Schizosaccharomyces pombe: one gene and its partners. The gene in region 2 interacts genetically with the main gene of each other region. Each region holds a gene or a part of one and is shown on either strand. Other genes may lie near its edges.

Evidence for each region. Genes that interact genetically often act in the same process or in processes that back each other up.
Region 1: mutations in cfr1 (region 2) and clc1 impair growth when combined (synthetic growth defect), as found in Schizosaccharomyces pombe (one study listed by BioGRID).
Region 3: mutations in cfr1 (region 2) and bgs1 impair growth when combined (synthetic growth defect), as found in Schizosaccharomyces pombe (one study listed by BioGRID).

The regions. Positions count from the first base shown.
Region 1 is NC_003423.3:1,824,548-1,829,350, forward strand, and holds clc1 (clathrin light chain Clc1), read left to right. Parts: upstream 1-2,605; 5' UTR 2,606-2,615; coding exon 2,616-3,305; 3' UTR 3,306-3,651; downstream 3,652-4,803. Other genes in the region: Nop52 family nucleolar protein, read left to right, coding at 15-57, 102-209, 266-554, 737-950; mdl1 (peptide-transporting ATPase), read right to left, coding at 4,113-4,803. UniProt on the Schizosaccharomyces pombe protein: Clathrin is the major protein of the polyhedral coat of coated pits and vesicles.
Region 2 is NC_003424.3:3,267,681-3,273,859, forward strand, and holds cfr1 (CHS5-like protein Cfr1), read left to right. Parts: upstream 1-2,516; 5' UTR 2,517-2,554; coding exon 2,555-4,417; 3' UTR 4,418-4,469; coding exon of another isoform or gene 4,470-4,585; 3' UTR 4,586-4,687; downstream 4,688-6,179. Other genes in the region: syb1 (synaptobrevin family receptor), read left to right, coding at 631-832, 897-1,060; bouquet formation protein Bqt1, read right to left, coding at 4,470-4,585, 4,737-5,019. UniProt on the Schizosaccharomyces pombe protein: Required for cell fusion, independently of fus1. Appears to have a role in transporting proteins that are involved in mating. May act as a scaffold to retain cell fusion proteins in the cisternae of the Golgi.
Region 3 is NC_003423.3:2,350,713-2,360,005, forward strand, and holds bgs1 (primary septum and spore wall linear 1,3-beta-glucan synthase catalytic subunit Bgs1), read right to left. Parts: upstream 6,653-9,293; 5' UTR 5,532-6,652; coding exon 342-5,531; 3' UTR 210-341; downstream 1-209. Other genes in the region: SPOM_SPBC19G7.04 (protein-DNA covalent cross-linking repair protein), read left to right, coding at 1-54; DNA-binding transcription factor, MADS-box Mbx1, read left to right, coding at 8,717-8,767, 8,835-8,981, 9,133-9,216, 9,289-9,293. UniProt on the Schizosaccharomyces pombe protein: Alternate catalytic subunit of the 1,3-beta-glucan synthase (GS) complex. Synthesizes 1,3-beta-glucan, a major structural component of the fungal cell wall. Required for the assembly of the division septum and maintenance of cell polarity.

The DNA of each region.
Region 1 (4,803 bases), on a different chromosome or scaffold from region 2:
TCAATAAACCAACAATGTCGGCTCCGTCGCCGTTTATTAAGAAACTTGCAGCTAATGGTAAATTTCTTACATATAAATGATTAATGTACTAACACTGTAAGATCGAAAAACTCGTGATAAGGCTCTTGAATCGTTGCAGCGGTTTTTAAGCCAAAAGAAAAAATTTGAAAGGTTAGACTTTCTCAAGCTTTGGAAGGGCTTATTTTACTGTATGAATTTTTTTGGGTTATGAATGTAAATCATCTAATTGTTTTTTAATATGCAGGCATGTGGATGGCTGATAAACCCTTATACCAACAGAAACTCTCAGATAATTTAGCCGCGTTGGTTCCAATTGTCTGGATAGACAATAGAATATTATTTCAATCTACTTTTTGGGAAACTATGGGTCGTGAATGGACGGGAATTGATATTTTACGAACAGACAAATTTTACTTGTTAATGCGTAGATTTTGTGCTGCTGCGTTTCGGGATATTCAAACAAGAAGTAAAACTGCTTTGCTGGACAAAGTAGTGGCTGAATATAATCAGATGTGGATGGATGGTCCTTTTAAGTAAGTTGTTTTCGTTCCCGCGTGTGGGAATTTGTTTATTATATAGATTGCTTTTGCGTTGGAGACTTTTAGAAAAGTTTTGCAACGCTTTTACTTCCTGCTTACATCAAACTTGTTGAATAGCTATTTCTTAATTTTTATCATTTTTCTGTTTATTTGGACAGACTACTAACTGCTTTTAGTACCGAAAATCTTGCTTTTCCAAATGGGATTTTATTCCATTTAGCTGATATATGGACTGAGGAATTAAGAAAAGTCTACCCAGAAGATGTACCAAAAGCGGACTGGTATCTTCCTTTTGATTCTACAATCAAGTCAAGTCATAATGTTGTCTTAAGAAAGACGCTTCCCAAACGTCTTGATCGGGTTTCTGAATATACAAAGGATTCACAATAATTAATTGATTCGGCACGTTTATTAGGTTTTGGTGAACTAAAAAAATATATTGGTGGTAATATACAACTTGTGGTTTGTAATAGACATTAATTATTCATATGATTGAACTTTTCATTTCCGTACCCCTACAACAAAAGTTTCGTAGTAATGCTGTTTCTTTTCTTTCTTAAGAATATCCAGATCGTCTTCATGTAGAGTAGATATGTGCTTATATTTTTATAACTCTTAAGAGGTGAAAAGATATAAGTAATCGATATTTACATCAAGTTGTAAAAAAGTGTAAAAACATGGGCTGTTGTGGGAATCGAACCCACGACCACCATCACCCTAAGATGGTATCATACCACTAGACCAAACGGCCACTATTGATTTATGTTGTCAAAAAGGTTTATACAAGACAAATGAGAATCGTTATATTTGATTGTTGCTTGACTTGTGTTTTAAACATTCCTAATGAACATTCGTAATCAATTACCCGACGTGCTTAGCAATAAATATTGGCATATACATTGCTCCCATTCGAATGCATAGTTGTATAGTACATGTACAATCAGGCCGCACAAATACATTCAACAACTGTAAGGTTGAGTAAAGATAATTACTCAAATTTAAAGACTTTTTGTGAGTAAAACAGTCAGATTGCAGTAAGACCTCGATATCATAATTAACCTCTAGAAATACACCATGTAGGAGTTTAAGATATTAAAACATACTATGTAAAAACGTTTTAACTGTCAGCAATACTACACTACGCTATGATACTCCACGTTGCATATCACTATATGTCACATGTTCACAATGTTCTATTTGCTCTATCAACTATTACATGATAAGTCATCAAGATGGAGATATAATATCATTCATGATAAGATAACTATCAGATATAATTCTTACTACTTCAAATATTATAAATTGAGAACAACTGAACCTCGTCCCTCAGTTCAGTTATAAGCTATATTAGTGATAGGTAACATTATAACCTAGTTAATACAATACCTATACTCAGTTGCTACTCATACAACCTGTGTATTGTAATATAATAGATCACAAGGAAAACTCACCGCAGTTCTATGTATCCTTAAATCAGATACCAAACTGCGTAGCTTACATTAACGCATTAATCTGATATATTATATTATTTTAACGTTGGACAAGAAAGTGAATGTTGCACGTTATATTATTTCAACTGAAACTTCTTCCTAAAGCATTTAATTTTCATACTAAATGCGACCGGAGTCACTAATAATTCGGTAGTTATAAGATCCTTGAACAGTGTTTGCTTTAATGTCTTGGCGTTCCTATTTGACAAATCTCAAACTCCCGACTTGATCAAACTAACAAAACTGTACCTCGTACTGCGTTCACTGTCATTTTTATGTTTCATGTATTCATTTTTGTAAATTATAAAAGATGGTATACTTTCTATCTATCTTGGTTTAGCGAATTTTTTTATAAGAAAAAAAACCTCAGTGTTATAGATGTTTATTTTTTAGTGATATATAACGAAAAATAAAATACTGGCTGAATTTAACGATTTGGTTTATATCATTGACACGTTAATATAAATAGCGAAAGAAAAGACGTTTCGCTAAATTATGCTACACTCAGCAAAGCTGCTGTCTACTTAGATGCAGATACTACCACTTTCAACCTTTACCAACCACCATGTCTCAATTTCCGGCTTTAGAAGACTTTGACGACGGTTTGGTTACCGCTCCTGTTGATGACTCTAAAAATAATACTGATTTCTTGGAACGCGAAAAGTTGGCACTTGGAGAGGATGCTGGACAATTCGAAACACCGGAGGATAAAGACGCGTTGTTGAATTTTGAAAATGATTCGGAAGCTGAACAAACTAGATTTGAACAGAACTTTCCTCCCATAGATGCTGAAATGCAAGCCTCTGGTACCTTTTCCGCTCCGAAAGCTCCTTACATGGGTCAAGCCGAAGTTCATCCCCCTGAAGACGAAAGCGGTGACCCCGAACCCGTTCGCAAGTGGAAAGAGGATCAAATGAAAAGGATCCAAGAAAGAGATGAGTCTTCCAAAAAGTTGCGCGAATCTAATATCGAGAAGGCCCGCAAGGCTATTGATGATTTTTATGAGAATTTTAATGATAAGAGAGATAAAGTCATTGCCAAGTCGAGAAAAGAACAAGAAAAACTGTTGGAAGAAAATGAAAGCAAATCTACTGGAACTACGAGCTGGGAGCGTATCCTGAAGCTTATTGATTTATCCGATAAGCCTGAGGCTCATGGCCGCTCTACAGAACGCTTTCGTGAACTTCTCATCAGCCTTGCAAAAGATAGCAATGCTCCTGGTGCTGCCGGCACAACTGTATCCTCTTCTTCTTAGAGATAAAGCTCTCCAATCCTTTTTGCTTTCAATGCTTGCACACTACCCTTCCTTTTGACACAATTAGCAGTGTTTAAAATAATATCTGACTAAGAATTTTTTTTATAATTTATACTTTTTTAAGTATTCAGTTCTCATATAAAATTCTTTGTCTACCTACTACAGATTTGTAACTATACTTTTTCTTGGATCTGTGCTTTGATATTTAGGGTATGTCTGTTTATTCGTCCTTCCCTTATATTGCGTTTCATAACGGTATGCCGTCTCTTGGTGTACTGCTTACCGCTTTTTATGCTTGTTGATTTTGTCGACTTTCCACCCTTTAATATGATTTCTAAAATTATTTAAAAATACTTGAACCTTTTACCGTTGTAGCAAATACTGAACGTCCGTACTGTAGTTATTTCATTTAATGTGATTTGTATCTAGCTTCACTTCCATTTGCCGCATAAACTACTGGACGATTTTTCATTGTCGAGATTTACAAGCGTAACGAATTTTGTGCAATTAATATATATTCTCTCTCTTTTAATATTTGCTCCTTTCAAACTTAAGTTTGCTATTGGGGTTTTAGATTTTACAGTTTCTTCTCAGTTGATATTGCTTAAAGGAACAATTTCCGCAGCCCTTTCTTTAAATGCCAAACTAATTACGGAACTGAATATTATTAATTTGCTAATCTTATATGCCAGCGAAGAAAAAAAAGAATAGAGTACCGATGTATTTAAAGATATGATTGAAAATTGCGTCTTGAGAGTACGCATGAATAAATTAATAAAACGAACAAGAGATACTTCACGTTTACGATCAAGGTTCAACTTTTCCAAGCTGCCATCTCATTAACTTGTAAAAGTTGGTACCAGGACGAGACAATCGTTCAAAAGACCCTTGCTCCAAAACTTTCCCGTCTCCAACAACAATTATTTGATCAGCTCGGCGAATAGTAGCCAATTTGTGAGCAATCGTAATGGTAGTCATACTACGATTATGCATCAAAGATTGAATCGTTTTATCCACCATTACTTCTGCTTCACCGTCTAATGCTGAAGTAGCTTCATCCAAAATTAAAAATGCTGGATTTCGAAGAAGTGCCCTAGCAATTGCAATGCGTTGTTTTTGTCCCCCGCTTAGTTGTAAACCACGAGTCCCGACTTGCGTAGACCATTTCTCCGGGAAAGAAAGCACAAAACTACAATTCGCTCGTTTGGCAGCATCTTCGATTTCCTCTTGAGATGCGTTAGATTTACCGTAAGCAATATTTTCGCCAATTGTACCAGAAAATAAAACCGGTTCTTGTCCAACTAAACCAAAATGACTGCGCCATTGATGAACATTATATGTAGAGATGTCAACTCCGTCAGCTAATATTTTCCCACTACTAGGTGCGTAAAAGCGCAAAAGGAGCTGTGAGATGGTGGATTTTCCACCGCCACTAGGTGCGACTATAGCAACATTGGTGCCTGGATGAATGTCGAAAGATAAGTTATCAAATATTGAA
Region 2 (6,179 bases):
TTCTAATAAATGTATGATTAAATGGACCCAAATAAACGTTGTTTCACCGATAGACCAAAAACCCAGGAAAAATCTAATATTGCAAGTGCCAAAACCAAAACCCTAATCCAGACGTAAATCGTAACGTAAATAAAATTTTATTTACAAAAGATCTCAAGAATAAAATAACAAATAACGTTTCGGACGCTACAGCGATGAGAGGAGACCTTTTAACACTATGTGAAAGTTAAAACTTTCATAAAAATTTCATAACTCAAGGAAATTTAGAAGAAGAAATATATTGTTATGAACAGCTCAAATCGCCAAGAAACAAGACGTGTTTCCAAATCTCTATTCCAAAGGGCGTAGTTGGTTCCTCCCAAATTCACCAATACTAAGGATTTGTTTACGTTATTTACTATGAGGGTACAGCTAGTTACATGTTTCTTATTGTAAAAAGGCAAGAAGTAATTTTATTACTTTATTTTATTTTTTTTCTTTAATTTATATAAGTATAATCACAAAACTGCTTTGCAACCCAACATTACAAAGCCAGATGTTTAACGCAATGGAAAGAGGATTAACGAATTGGTACACATCAACTCCAACCGAGCGCAAAAATAAATCCTCCACCAACTAACACATACGACCATGTCTGAGCCATATGACCCATATATCCCGGCGGAGCCTTCTGCAGCTGTTCGTAGTGGAAATGCTGCTGCTTCGTCGACGCCGAATATGAAGACAGCTGCAATTCAGCAGCAGATTGACGATACTGTGGGGATTATGCGTGAAAACATTTCTAAGGTTTCAGAACGTGGAGAACGCCTTGATTCTTTACAAGATAAAACAGGTATGATATTTATTTTTGTTAACAGTTAAATTTTTTTTTTGAACGTTTAGCTAACTTCTTTAAGATAACCTTGCTGTTAGCGCGCAAGGCTTCCGTCGTGGCGCCAATCGTGTTCGCAAGAAGATGTGGTGGAAGGACATGCGTATGCGTCTTTGCATTATCATTGGTATCATCATTTTACTTGTTGTCATTATTGTTCCTATCGCAACAAAATTTCATGGCAAGTAAGAAGATGTATCATGTAGCTTAGTCGCATGCCGAGTCAAAATATTTGCTGTTTGAATACTTTTTTTTCAAGCGTATTTTTGTCTCTGGTTTTTTTCTTCCTTCTCTCTTTCTTTCTCTCTTGCCTGACACAACAACCTATAAATCGAATTTTAAGAAAAAAGCTTCTGATGTAGACAGGGCCACTTTTTTTGCAAAGAGATAACGCATTTTTTCTCAAGATCCTTTATTCGTTTTTATTTTTCTTGCATATACATACTTGATGACTGACGGGTCAATGATAGTGAATACCAGGTTGGTTTTTTGTTGAGCAATTTGGTTTTGGCCTGTATTGCTTTTTCCTCTTTTCTTCTTTCTACACCTCACCATACATATCATGGGCCTTGCTTGCTTGACAAAGGAAATCTTTATGGATACAAAATTATCATTACTTTCCGTACTTAAGATGGTAAATAGAATTTTTGTTTCCTTCTCGGTATTTCTTTTCTATTCCGCTCTTTATATGGATAACCCTATAGCATAAAGATGGATAATGTTTTAATGTATACAGATTAGCCTCGATATTCCATTTGTCTACGGCTTTTTTCTAATTCTTCAAAAGTACTTAGTACGGGAGCAAATTTGTTATCTTATTTTCATATTTTTCCTTTAGAAGCTAGCTTCTTTTTATACTGATTATTGCACTGATAGGTGTATTAAAAAACCACTATTCTTAATTAATTTTATAGAGTGAAATGTGTAAACCTGATAATTAGGAAATATTTTTTAAGTTTGCTCACACGTGGTTTTATATCCAGATTAACAATTGTATTATTTTTCGACTTCTATTTTGCTCAACAGATATTGTGGTCTAATCCTTCATTCGTGTAGTATTTTAAATTTTGAATGCAGCACGGTTTACGAATTAAGATATATTCATCAACTGGGTTCAACAGTACTGCATTTGTTTTTGTTTACTATCAATGTAACTTAACGTAATTTAGAATTTAATTGTATCAGAAAGTAGTATATTTGCTCCCCTTAAAATGCTTTAGTCTGAAGAATAGATAATAATAGCCCAATATTTTAATAATTTAGATGATTGAAAAAATCAACAGATTTTTTTGTAATATTGTTTGTATGAATTCTCGTTGAAATATAATAATAAACTACATATATTAAATCGTTCACTTTTACTGAGTGATTGAATTAAATATATCTTCAAATATTTGTATATAATTTTAATAAATTGTAATTGTCTTCCTTACTAGAATTACGCTTATAATGATACTAACCAGAAAATTTAAAAAATATATAAGTTTGATATGTAAATAGATTGTGAAAAACCAGGGAATCACAACAACTCTTGATATTTATCAAAACAAAGATGATTATAACCTACATTTTTACTACGGTTCCTTAGGTAACAAGTGCTACCTATAGTTAGAAGTGTAAGAGTGCTGGTTAAGGTAAACACTCCACCACAACCAAAGGGGATTATCAATAATAGCATCTAAAATGGATGATACAAATCAATTTATGGTGTCTGTGGCCAAAATAGATGCGGGAATGGCCATCTTATTGACACCTTCATTTCATATTATAGAATTTCCATCCGTGTTGCTGCCGAATGACGCGACTGCAGGCTCTATAATCGATATCTCTGTGCATCACAATAAAGAGGAAGAGATAGCAAGAGAAACTGCATTCGATGATGTTCAAAAAGAAATTTTTGAAACATATGGCCAAAAATTGCCGTCTCCTCCTGTTCTTAAGTTAAAGAATGCTACTCAGACTAGCATTGTATTGGAATGGGATCCTTTACAACTCTCCACTGCGAGACTCAAAAGCCTTTGCTTGTACCGTAATAATGTTCGAGTGCTTAACATATCTAATCCCATGACTACTCACAATGCCAAGCTGAGTGGCTTATCTCTCGATACAGAATACGATTTTTCCCTTGTTTTGGATACGACTGCGGGAACATTTCCCAGCAAACACATTACCATCAAAACGTTAAGAATGATAGATCTCACAGGAATTCAAGTGTGTGTTGGCAACATGGTTCCCAATGAGATGGAGGCTTTACAAAAGTGTATTGAACGCATTCACGCTAGACCAATTCAAACTAGCGTTCGTATCGATACAACTCATTTTATCTGCTCTTCTACTGGGGGTCCTGAGTACGAAAAGGCAAAAGCTGCCAATATCCCTATTTTAGGTTTGGATTATTTGTTGAAATGCGAATCTGAAGGACGTTTGGTGAACGTTAGTGGTTTTTACATCGAAAATCGCGCTTCTTACAATGCTAACGCTTCTATTAATTCTGTAGAAGCTGCGCAAAATGCTGCACCAAATCTCAATGCTACAACCGAACAACCGAAGAATACCGCTGAAGTTGCTCAAGGTGCTGCATCAGCTAAAGCTCCACAGCAAACAACCCAACAGGGAACTCAAAATAGTGCAAATGCTGAGCCATCTAGTTCAGCTTCTGTTCCGGCTGAAGCGCCTGAAACTGAGGCTGAGCAATCAATCGATGTTTCCAGCGACATTGGTTTACGAAGTGATTCTAGTAAGCCCAATGAAGCTCCAACTTCTTCGGAAAACATCAAAGCGGATCAGCCAGAAAATTCTACAAAGCAGGAAAATCCCGAAGAGGATATGCAAATAAAGGATGCTGAGGAACATTCGAATCTGGAAAGTACACCTGCTGCCCAGCAAACTTCCGAAGTTGAAGCTAACAATCATCAAGAAAAACCATCTTCTTTGCCAGCCGTTGAGCAGATTAACGTGAACGAAGAAAACAATACCCCGGAGACTGAAGGACTTGAAGATGAAAAAGAAGAAAATAATACAGCCGCTGAATCTTTAATCAATCAAGAAGAAACTACCTCCGGTGAAGCAGTTACAAAGAGTACTGTTGAATCCTCAGCGAATGAGGAAGAAGCTGAACCTAACGAAATAATTGAAGAGAACGCTGTTAAATCTTTATTGAATCAAGAAGGACCTGCAACTAACGAAGAGGTTGAAAAAAACAATGCTAATTCTGAAAATGCGAATGGCTTGACAGATGAGAAAATAATCGAAGCCCCTTTAGATACTAAGGAAAATTCAGACGATGATAAGCCATCTCCCGCAGCAGCTGAAGATATTGGTACTAACGGTGCAATTGAGGAAATCCCTCAAGTTTCTGAAGTCTTAGAGCCAGAAAAAGCGCATACTACTAACTTGCAACTGAATGCGCTCGATAAAGAAGAAGATCTAAATATTACTACAGTTAAGCAAAGTTCGGAACCTACGGCTGATGACAATCTAATACCCAACAAAGAAGCAGAAATTATACAATCTTCTGACGAGTTTGAAAGTGTAAACATTGATTAATGACATTGATCTCTTGTATTCTGCAGTCTTTTTTTTTTCTTATGTTTATATGTTAACATTCTACGAATATCCTCCACTTTTCCAATCGTTTGACTAAAGGCACATGGGAACCATTTTGAACTGTAATGCTCTGGTATCCTTGCAGTCTTCTAGACCATGGAAGTACATCTAAACTCATTTAGCATTAGTAAATATATAGCTTCGGATTTTTTTTTCGTTCTCTAATAAATTTTTTTTTTTAAATTAAATCAACTAGGTCAAAAATGGGTAATGGGAGGTTTTGAAATTATGTTTCATTATACTGATAGACAGAACTTACAATATCGTAGTTTGAAATTCGTGCTGGCGTCTTCTTCCATATGTATCAATGATTCTTTATTTTGACCTTGGCAAAGCAAAGCGAATTGCCATATATTCGGAAATATCGAGTATAAATATTCTATCCTTTCAATTGAAACTTGAATAAGGCTGTGTTTTAAAAATCTAGCATGCTCACAGTTTGAATCAGTGCATACAGGTGTTTGAGTATAAATCGCGATTTGGGTTAAATATTCTACTTTGTTTTGTTCAAAAGAAATAAGCGTCGTAGTTAATAAATGCATTTTGTTTAAATCAGTATCATTTAGGATGGGTGAAAGGATTTTTTTTTAAAACGCGTCGTTTGTAGAAGAAGAGGTGCATAAAATATGAACACACCACATATAATAATAAGAGGATAGACATTAAAGCCAACAACCTATTAAAAGTGTAAATTTGAAATCAAAAAAGATTAAAAAAAAGAATAGGAATCGACTTCTTTTACACAAAGAAATCCACACCTATTTGATATTAGCTTGGACATCCTCTATTGACGACTGCATTTTCTGATAGCACAAACAAGACTTTTTCAGACTTAAATGAAAATTAAATAAACCAACAGTGGGTTTTTTAGGGAAACCTAAAAATTCAGAGAATCTTAAGCAAGTTCTCTGTTTTGCTTTACATAACAATCTTTAACGCCCACAACGTTGTAAAGATATCACCTATAAAAATAAAAAAATTACGCTTTTGAGGAATAGATGTGCTTTTTTATACATATGTTTATTCAAAATACAGCTCACTGTCTTAATCTGCTAAAGTAGTAGACCTTGTTTACCTATCATCTTTAGAGTGCATTAAGCAGTTGTTAAGCGAAAATTGCGTCATCTATTAGTGAGCCTCTGTTTACAAGTTGACGGCTGTTTATGAGTTTTGAAGAAGGAATCCAAAAATAAATTTGATTTTCACTGAAAATCTATGAAATAAATATGTAGCGACTAATCATACACAACAATTGTATCAAGTTGCCGACATAAAAATACCAGCTGGCTCAACCTTTATAGATACTTTTGAAGAGCTCTTATAAGCATTAATTAATGTTCGAATGATGTAGTTATTGCTTAAAAAAAAGAACCGCCTGGCGTTATTCTCGAGTAAAAGTAAAATCAACATGTGCAACGAAGGAATGGATGCACTGACTGCCGTCAATTTCTCTCAGCCGTCCTCCCAATAAAAATCATTAAGACATGTTATTAAAAACATTAAAAGGCATACCAACGGGTGTTGTATCTTACAAATCACCTCATGGGATCTGTTTTTTGTCAAACTACGGCATTACGCCTTACAAGAAAAAATGTAGAGAGTGAAACGAAACTGAATTGGGATGATTCTTAGCATTTAAAAAAATTGTTTTTGTCTTCGAAGCACAAATTTCACATTTTCTCTTTTTTTTCAAATCCTTCCT
Region 3 (9,293 bases), on a different chromosome or scaffold from region 2:
GCTAAACAAAACGTTTCAAAATCCGTTAGCCTTATCTCTTCAAGCGATTTGTAAATGTGAACGTAATAACATAATCAATATCACATTACGGGCAGACGGTGCACCAATAATTTTTTCTCATGTAACAGACATTAAGTTTGTGTTTGCTCTAACCATCAATCGTTCTTCATTACTTATTTAGATAATATATTCTCAAGTACTAGATACTTAATCAACACTCAAGTCATTTTTTATTTAACAAAATGCAAATATAATAATTATTATTTACCCTAATTGAGAGCATTTCTAATGAGAAATAAGCATCCACATCACACAAATCCTTTAAAAAAAAATAAAATGCTTTAGACAGAAGAATTCTTTGTTGAAGAATAAACAATCTTTGTCGCTGGCTGAATCAGATTAAATTTATCCATTGAAGTTCCAGCAGCTGATTTACCAAACACAAAAGGCAAAATTAAAAGAACAAAAAAGGCAATAAACAATGAAAAGTACAAAGTGGCATAGCGAAGAACTATTTGACGACGAAGTTTGTTTTGTCTTATGGTATAAATTGGGGGTCGAATTTGTCTGCTGGGCACAAGCCAGAATAATATGATCGAGTGAAGTTTGTCGATATAAGGAATCAAAATAACAGGCGCTTGCAAAAACAACAAAAGATGACTTAAAAGGAAATCACCAGCAAACATATTCAACTCTGTAGTTTTACACACAAATTCTCTCCATGGTTGCGTTAAAACCATATATCCAAAACCTTGGCCATTCCAACGTCCAGACCACCAAGCTAAATTGGCACCATCATGACGAAATTCTCGAGACAGGAAACATATGATAAAAAATTTATGAGCAAACCTGTGAATTGAAATGATTGCTACAAATCCAAGTAAAGTTTTTGAAAATGACCAACCTTCCAAATAGCCCAATACTTCAAAGACAACAACATCAACACACACAAAAAGGAAATGGGCCACTCCAGCCAAATATACACCATACGTTTTAGATCTATCGCCGAGAATAGGACGTAACATGATTCCTAAACAGAAAAAGAAAAAAGCAATAATTGCACTTAAAACCAAAGGAGCAACTGACATAATAATCAAGCGAATAAAAGCATTAGTAGATTGGGTCTCATCATCGTTACCAGGTTGGGAATTGATAAAGAGAAATGGAATACACGTGAAAAATAGTGTTCCTAGAGGCCCTAATATTTCACCATAAAACATTGTAGTAATTCTCGCACGCGGGGAATCCATAGCAATTTTATCTGCCTTCTTACCATATATTTTACGTTTATACCCAGTTACTCTGGTACGGCAAAGTTGACAGTTGCCAATCCATGAATTTGCTTGATTGCGTGAATTTTCGCGGAATAGCCAGCGCATAAACTCACGATAATCAACAAAGAAATCGGTCCAGGCGAATTGATGGGGATTGTAAAGGAATGGACTAATGCAAAGAGCAGTCAGCGTAATCCAAAAGTAAATATAATGCGGCAACCAAGCAGTAATTGAACCAAACAATAACATGTACATAAGTCGTGACCCAAAATAAAGTGATGGTCCAGAGAATCGAGAATACAATAGTGAGAACGGCACACGAACAGTAGCAAAACCTCTGCTAGTACCAATATAGCGTGCACCACCAAACGTAAGATTTGCAATTAAACTCTGCGCATATATTTGGCATGTGAAAATTTCAAAAATAGGAGATAGAGAGAATATTTGTTTCGCTAAACGAATAACCATTCGGATGGCACCGCGTTCCCCTAATTCACAAACAGCAAGTGGAACAAAAGCAATACCAAAGACAATGAAAATAGACAAAATACAACGCTTCAACCACTCGAGAACTGGTTTTAATTGATAACAACCTTCAGGGTACAAAGAAGCTGTCAAGGAGTCAAATTGGCGGTATCTACAAACCGGAACAACAGTGTACATTGCTCCCAAATTAATAATAACAAGCATCAATAACTGTAAAGAAAACATGATGACCATGTTATTGACGTGAAATCCAGCGTGGGCATAGAAAAATGACAAAAACCTATCAAACGGTAATTGTGTGCCAAGGTTGAAATATTCTCTTGAAAGCATTTGTTCCGCCATACCCGTTCCAATTTTCGTAGTAAAGTTAAGAATTGAGCCAAAACCCAAGTCACGACCCTTACCACATTGATAGTAATCACAATGCTTAATACGTCCTCCACGTTGAAGAGCAATCATACCTGCATAAATATCTTCATTAACATGCAGACCTTTTTGTGCTTTTGAAACGCCGCCACGAGTAATCATAAACAAAACATTAATAAAATCAGGATGTCCGTAATGCAATTTTCCACCAATCAACGATAAAATACGAGCGAAAAGAGTACCAAATGTTTGTTCCTTTCCAGCAGCTACATCTCCAAGCATACCTGTATTTTCTGAAAAAATGTATTCTCTAGCACCGAGAATAGCTACGGGATGATTGTCAGCAGCTTTGGCATTTACCGAGTAAGGGCTATGTAAGGGAGGAGTAAGTTGCTCAAATTCAGCAAGAATGCTACGAATCTTTAGACATTCTTCCAAATAATTATCCTGGTTGGCATCGATCATTTGTACATATTCACCTCTAATGTAAGGAATAGACATATTTTGATTATCAGATTTACCGTCACCCAAAATTGGGTTACCAGATAGACGAATACGATATTTGGGTCGACGCTTTCCATTTTCCATAATGGGGCAATGACCGTCAATCAGTACAGAATAAAGATGGCGCTCGTCATTATGTCGAGATTGAGGATCTTCATCCATATATGCAATTTGCAAGTCTGGATACGCTCTTAATAAAAATTCTGCATTTTCGGCTTCTTCTTTGGTAAACTTAGCATACCGCTGCATGGAGACACAGAATCGGAACTTCCTGTTTGCCATTAAATCCAATTCTTCATCTAATCGCACAGGGTCACCATTTGTCCATTCGACCAATTCTGGTGTTTCCGTTCTGTATAACAGTTTGATGGCACGACTATAGTTACTGAAACCGTTGATAGTGCGATACAAAGTTTGAGTTCTCAGAGAGGCCCAAATTCTTGTTCTCAAAGTATACTCCGGAGTCGCAGATTTAAATCCAACACAATAGAAAGGAAGGTCATATGCTTTATTTACTCCATTTTTTTCATTGTCGATACTGCCAATAACAGAATCATTTTCATCAGCAAGTAATTTTGTATCATCAACAAAATTTCTCCACTCCACAGGATATAGCTGCTTCAAGTACTCTAATAGAGTTACGCGAGAAAGTTGATCTTCCTCGCGAATAATCTCTCTTAAAGATAACAAAATTTTCTCAGAATAGTGAGGAACCAAAACAGTGAAGGTAGGCATGGCATCAATGGAACTAGTCTTGGGTATTGATTCAGCCAAGGATTGTGCGAAAAAGGAGATTCTTCGAGCAGCTTCTGAATTAGCCGGAAACAAATCTTGCTTATAATGCTTAACCTGTTGGGAGTAGAAAAAGTTGGGAGCTCTAAGAGTATGATAGCCTGCCTTTTCAGAAGGTACTTGATGGTACAACAACTCCTGAATTTGGGTACGGGAAATCAAATGCTCCCTGTACATCGAGATAATAATGGCATTCCAAACTTGAGAAATAAGTACTTTTGGCTTGAAGACAATCTCCATGTCATCGGTATACAACAGTTTTGTATATATTCTTCTGGGAACGCGGTAAAACAATTCTCTCCAAGGAGTCCACACACTGATACCCAGGCAAAAAGCATAAGCCAAAGAATAGATAGTGCTGATAAGAATGTACCATAGATAAGTATCAAGGAAAAACAGAGAAAGATCAGTTAAATACAGTAAACTCAAGAGAATTTTAGGCTGAGCCTTGCATAGTCCAGCTCCTAAAATGTAATCACGGCAGTCATAAGGTCGCATAGCACCCAAAAATCTGATAGAATCTGCCAAATTCAAAGTTAAAAAGAAATAAGATTCCAAGAATTTGGCCACCAAAACTGTAATCCAAAGACACCAAGAAACGAAAGCACCTGTTTTTGAGGTCGGAGTGAAATTGGCGGTGAAAAATCTGTTAGCAAGGTTTTTTCCAGACCTTTTTGTGGTGAAACCAACCAAATTTCGTAACGGCGTAATCGAATAGTAAACTACACAGACCAACGAGAAAAAGAAATGCACAATTCCTACAACCAATCGAGAAGCATAATGCTGCTCTTTCGTAGACGAAGCAAATATGAAAACAACAGGTGCGATGTTTAGAAGTAGCGTACTTATCAATAACAGCATACTCGGCCACAACCTTCTGGCAGAATGATAACGACGAGGAACATGTATATATTCGAAAACCACAGCTGCCAAGGTGATAAAAGAAGCTATAGCACCAGCTAAACCACAAGCTGTCCAACGACAAGAAGCAGGAGGTTTATTATTCAAGCGGATGTGATAATTTTTGGTGTACAAATTTGGGGAATTATAAGCCGAATAATACCAGTAAGCAGATATATGCATTACCCAAATACGTGAGAAATTGGTAACGTTATGGAACCAAGAACGATACTCGTAATAGGACTTATAAAAACATGATTTCCATTCAACATCGGAAAGATGTCGATATCGCATAAACGGTGGTAAATCTAACAACGGAGTTTTATCAGCACACATGATTTCCTGAAGGCCCTTGTAGGACCAAAACAATTGATTAATATCATCATAGCCAATGATTTGAGAATGATCTCTTTCTCGTCTGACGTATTTGCCGTCCAAAATTTCAAACAGCTGTGCATGAATAAATCGATAAATAGGGGTGATAACCGAGTCTAAATAAAATTCCTTGGGCAAAGCAGCATCGACATCTTTAGCTTCCGAAGAGATATAATAATCATAAGCACATTCAAATATAAAACAAAGACACTCGGGAACAAAACGAACATTGTTAGCTTCACCCCAGCAAAGAAAATAAAGGCACACCTGCACCATCATGCGATGGGGTGAAAATGCTGCCATTTGATCTCTCCATGCCTGTTCAGCTTCTTTCAAAGTCATTGTTTCGACAATTGGGGAAGACATATCGTGAAATCCAATGGCATGACCGTCATTAAAATGAGAAGCAAAGTACCACTTTGAAAAATTTGCATGTTCACCACCAATGACATCGGCATGGATAGTAAGCAGTGCCGAGGAAGGAGACATACGAGATGCCCGAGAATCTAAAAGAACCATAACATAATCAAAAATGTTACGCATGTTATCTTTTTGAAAACCAAGTTTATTTGTAAGGTCCAACAAGATCTCTTGAACACCTTCCATAGTAACAGGAGCCTCTTCACCAGCTTGATTCCAAGCCGGATAAGCAACTGAACTGGAATCGACATTAAATGAAGAGCTATCATAATCAGAATGTAATGCATCACGAGAAGAGTTTTTATCGTAAATCATACGGGTCAGAGAGCTCATAGTATCATCGTCAGAGACATAACTATTGGCATCATCTTCAAAGAGTCCACGACCCTCTTGTTCACGCCAATACTGATCCATGATGAATAAATAGACTCAAAAGAAGGAGAGAGGACAAATTTTAATGCTTAAATTAAGAAGAATTGAAAGAAAGAAAAGTTGGAATTTGTGAGAAAGAATGCTAGCAAATGAGGAACGATGTTCAAAAGAAAGAAATAAATTTAAGAGACCTTGAAAAAAAGATTAAAAAGAAAGAAGTTAAGCCTTGGAAAATGGGGGCAAAAGAGTAGAAGAGAAAAAAATTTGTGCTGATTGAAATGAAAAAAGTAAAAGACTTTTTCAAATCCTAAAAAGAAGAAAAAAGGGTGATATATGTATGCCGGATGAGAGAAGACGGCGGAAAAAGCTCTAAAAGTAGGAAAAAGGGTGGGATCACGAAGTGAAAGAGTAGTTAAGATATCGGAGGTTCAAAAGGGAATGAACGGAACCTAAAAATACAGTATGCAAATTATAAAAAAAGAGGCGAAAAAAAAGAAGAAATAATTATAAAAACAACAATAATAATACCATAAAACAGCAAGCACCAAAAGAAGTACTTACAAATGCACACCTAGGAAACTGACCAAATTTTTAAAAAAGCGATTCAAGGAAGGACGTTTTTTTAAAAGAAAAGGAGAAAATATAAAATCGCTTTCCACATAAACTTTAGATTGAACAATTAAATTGTCGTATGCAGAAGCTTATTTACAATCTCTCAAAGCGAAAAAAAAGTAAATGGAGATGGGAAAATGGAAGGAAAAGAGAAGCGAAAGGGTAAGAGGAACCCGGGACAAACGCCAAACGTCCACACAAACACAATGCTACGACAAAAGGTGATCTTGCACACACCGAAAACTTAGCAGTGATGGAGCAACTAACGTAAAGATAATATCACACAAGAAAACTTGGCAAATGTTAAGATGGAGTCAACCTTTTTGTATGGAGGCTAATAGGAAAAAAGAGAGGAAAAAGAAAAGAAGGAACCAATGATAGATATATAAGAAGGAAGAAAAAATTAATTCCGTGCAACAGAATCAAAAATTTGACGTTAAAAAGGATAATTTACTCTAATTAATCAATATATTTTCAAAAATTTTAGAGTAATTCCACTAAGAGAACGGTGAAAATAGCCAAAACCCACCAGTTCCTAGTTTGTTGTCTGCAAGTTGTACTCATTCCGGTTCTTTCAAAACTAACAGCGAAATGGGGAAGGGTAGTGCACATTATTGAGGCCTATTTTAGTGTAAGCAATTTAGAGGCTGGCGTGGTAGGAGGCTCAGGTTACTCACCAACGAGGCACAAGGAGGCTTAAAAAACCATCCCCATACAAAGCAAAGCCATAGCCGGTCAAACAAAGAAAGAATTTATAAGCAGCTACTGTGTAGCATCTTATCAATCGTTATACCCAGCTACCGTTTTAGATGGATACTTTTAACCAAACTAAGGACGCTATATTTGAATTGGAAAAGAAGTAAACAAACTACAAAAAGTCAAGAAAGTGTAGCTGAAACCATAATTCAGTTACAGTGAACATAAGCGACGAGTGTTCTTTTTTTTTGGAATTGTTAAACTAATTTCTAATATGTGATTGTCTACATGGGTGGTAAACAATAGTAAAAATAATACAAAGCTAGAAGGTACCGAATCCCAATTAGCAAAGGTATGATTATTACAGTATAGAGCTTATGAAGAGAACTAGGCATTGGGCTTTTTTCGCAAATCCCGAAAATTGGGAAAATCATAGACGCACAATGTCTGGGTATTGAATGCGTGGGAAAAGTACGGATTTGAATGCTAACAAATCTGGTTAGGATCTAAAGAAGATGAAAAGACAACCGAGTACGAATTTAAAAGCAATTGGTTAATCCAAAGGAAGAAACAATGTGCCGGCATTGGAAAAGGTTTCCATTCCATATTCTGGTTAAGACTTGGATTGGGCAATTTCCCTTACGAATACCCCAAAAACAAACACATCCTGTAAATATTTTTATCTATCAATCGACTATTACAGCGATATTCTTTTAAATCTTTGATGACTATTTAGTTGTCACACTTAAACAACTTCTTACAATCATTTGACTACAACTATTTCTATTGTCGCACCTTCTGCTCTTTTCATTTTCTCCATTTCATTAATTCCTATATTTTCTACTTCTCTAGTTTGTTTTACTTCTTTACACTACCTTATTAGATAAATAATCTAGCACCCTAGCCTTTCTTATCATCTTAACCCCCTGTAGCGAGACTTTTTTCGTCCGGTACCTTACAGGGCTTGGGTGGGCTTTATAGAAAGGCTCAGTACATTTACCACGAGATTTTGAAAAGGATAAATCCAGCGTTTTTTCCTACAAACTATACGTTCCTGATACGCTGTATACGCTTCTTTTTCATCCAAATTTCACATTTTTTATATTTTGGTTCAAGTCTGGGGTTGATTTAAGAAAAATTTTTTTCCGTACTGCCTATTCAGTGTTTCTATTTATATTCAAAGGTGAAATTTTTTGTCTCCGCAAACTTTACATTGCCGTTATTGTCGCTTTGTTTACATTTTGAAAGTCTCAAATTGAATATTTTGAATTTCATCCTTGGCTTTTTTTTATTTGGTTTCCATTTATTTTGGTGATCGGCTTCCTTATTTTTTTTTGCACATTTAGTATTGGGTTAGACTTCAAGTCATAGGAGCCGATTGAATGATATCCTAATATTTGCCTGCTTTTTTAAAATTCTTCCAAAGTTATCTCTTTTTTCTACATTAAAAGGTTTTTTCATTCGTCTACCCAAAACGTTAACGACATTTTCCTTGTATTCTTATCCCTTTAGATTATATCCCATTTTGGTACCCATTACTGTTTTGCTGCATTTCAAGTCAAGCTGATACATTCAAGTGAATCTAGCGGATAATCATATTTTGTATTTCAACCTTTAAGTTTTGCACTTCCTTGCATGCGTCTTTGCCTTCCCTTAATTTTGATTTTTATTACACTGTCAATAATCACGAAACAAGAATATAAGAATAGTCGAAACTCTCACTTTCTTTGCGCCCTTTTTTCCTTCTCCCTTTTCTCCTAATTTTTATTTCTAGACTTCACTGAATTTCCTCGGTTGATTTAGTCAATTGGTTTAATTTTTAATCCTTTTTTTGTTGTTTTTTTACTATTTTGGTTCTTAATTGTCGCTCTTTTTCTACTTCTTATTTATATTATTACCTAAATATTTGGACTCTAACTATGGATATTAATCCTCCTCCTAGTACTGCTCCTTCATCTCCTCGCCGTTCTGTATGTGCTACATAGTGGTTTGGTTCCATTCATACACCCCTTTTCTCCTCGCTAACGTACCATTTAGATACAGCGTATTTCCGATGCAAAAAATAAGGCTCTTACTTTTAATCGTCGACGACTTGGCTTGATAAAAAAAGCACATGAACTCTCCGTTTTGTGTGATGCTAAAGTGGTGGTCATGATTTTTGATTCTAAAAATGCTTGTCACGTTGTATGTTTCATATTTCCCGTTTTTCTGATCCTTTTCTGTCATATCCTTTCAATGTAAAGTGAATACATTATAGGGAAGGTGATGAAGGTCAACAACCAGAAAACGTGGCAATGTTTTTACAAGTTTTTAATATTAACATACACCTCTTTAGTATTCTTCTGAGGAACCGGAAGAGCAAAGAGATGCCTTGCTGCAAAAATTCCTGAACAAGGACTTTGTCACGGTTGACCCTCTGGTAAGTCACTTATCAGCAATCATTATGCTTGTCCTGTATTCTGTTTACTAACATAATCCCTTGGGGAGAAAGAGAAA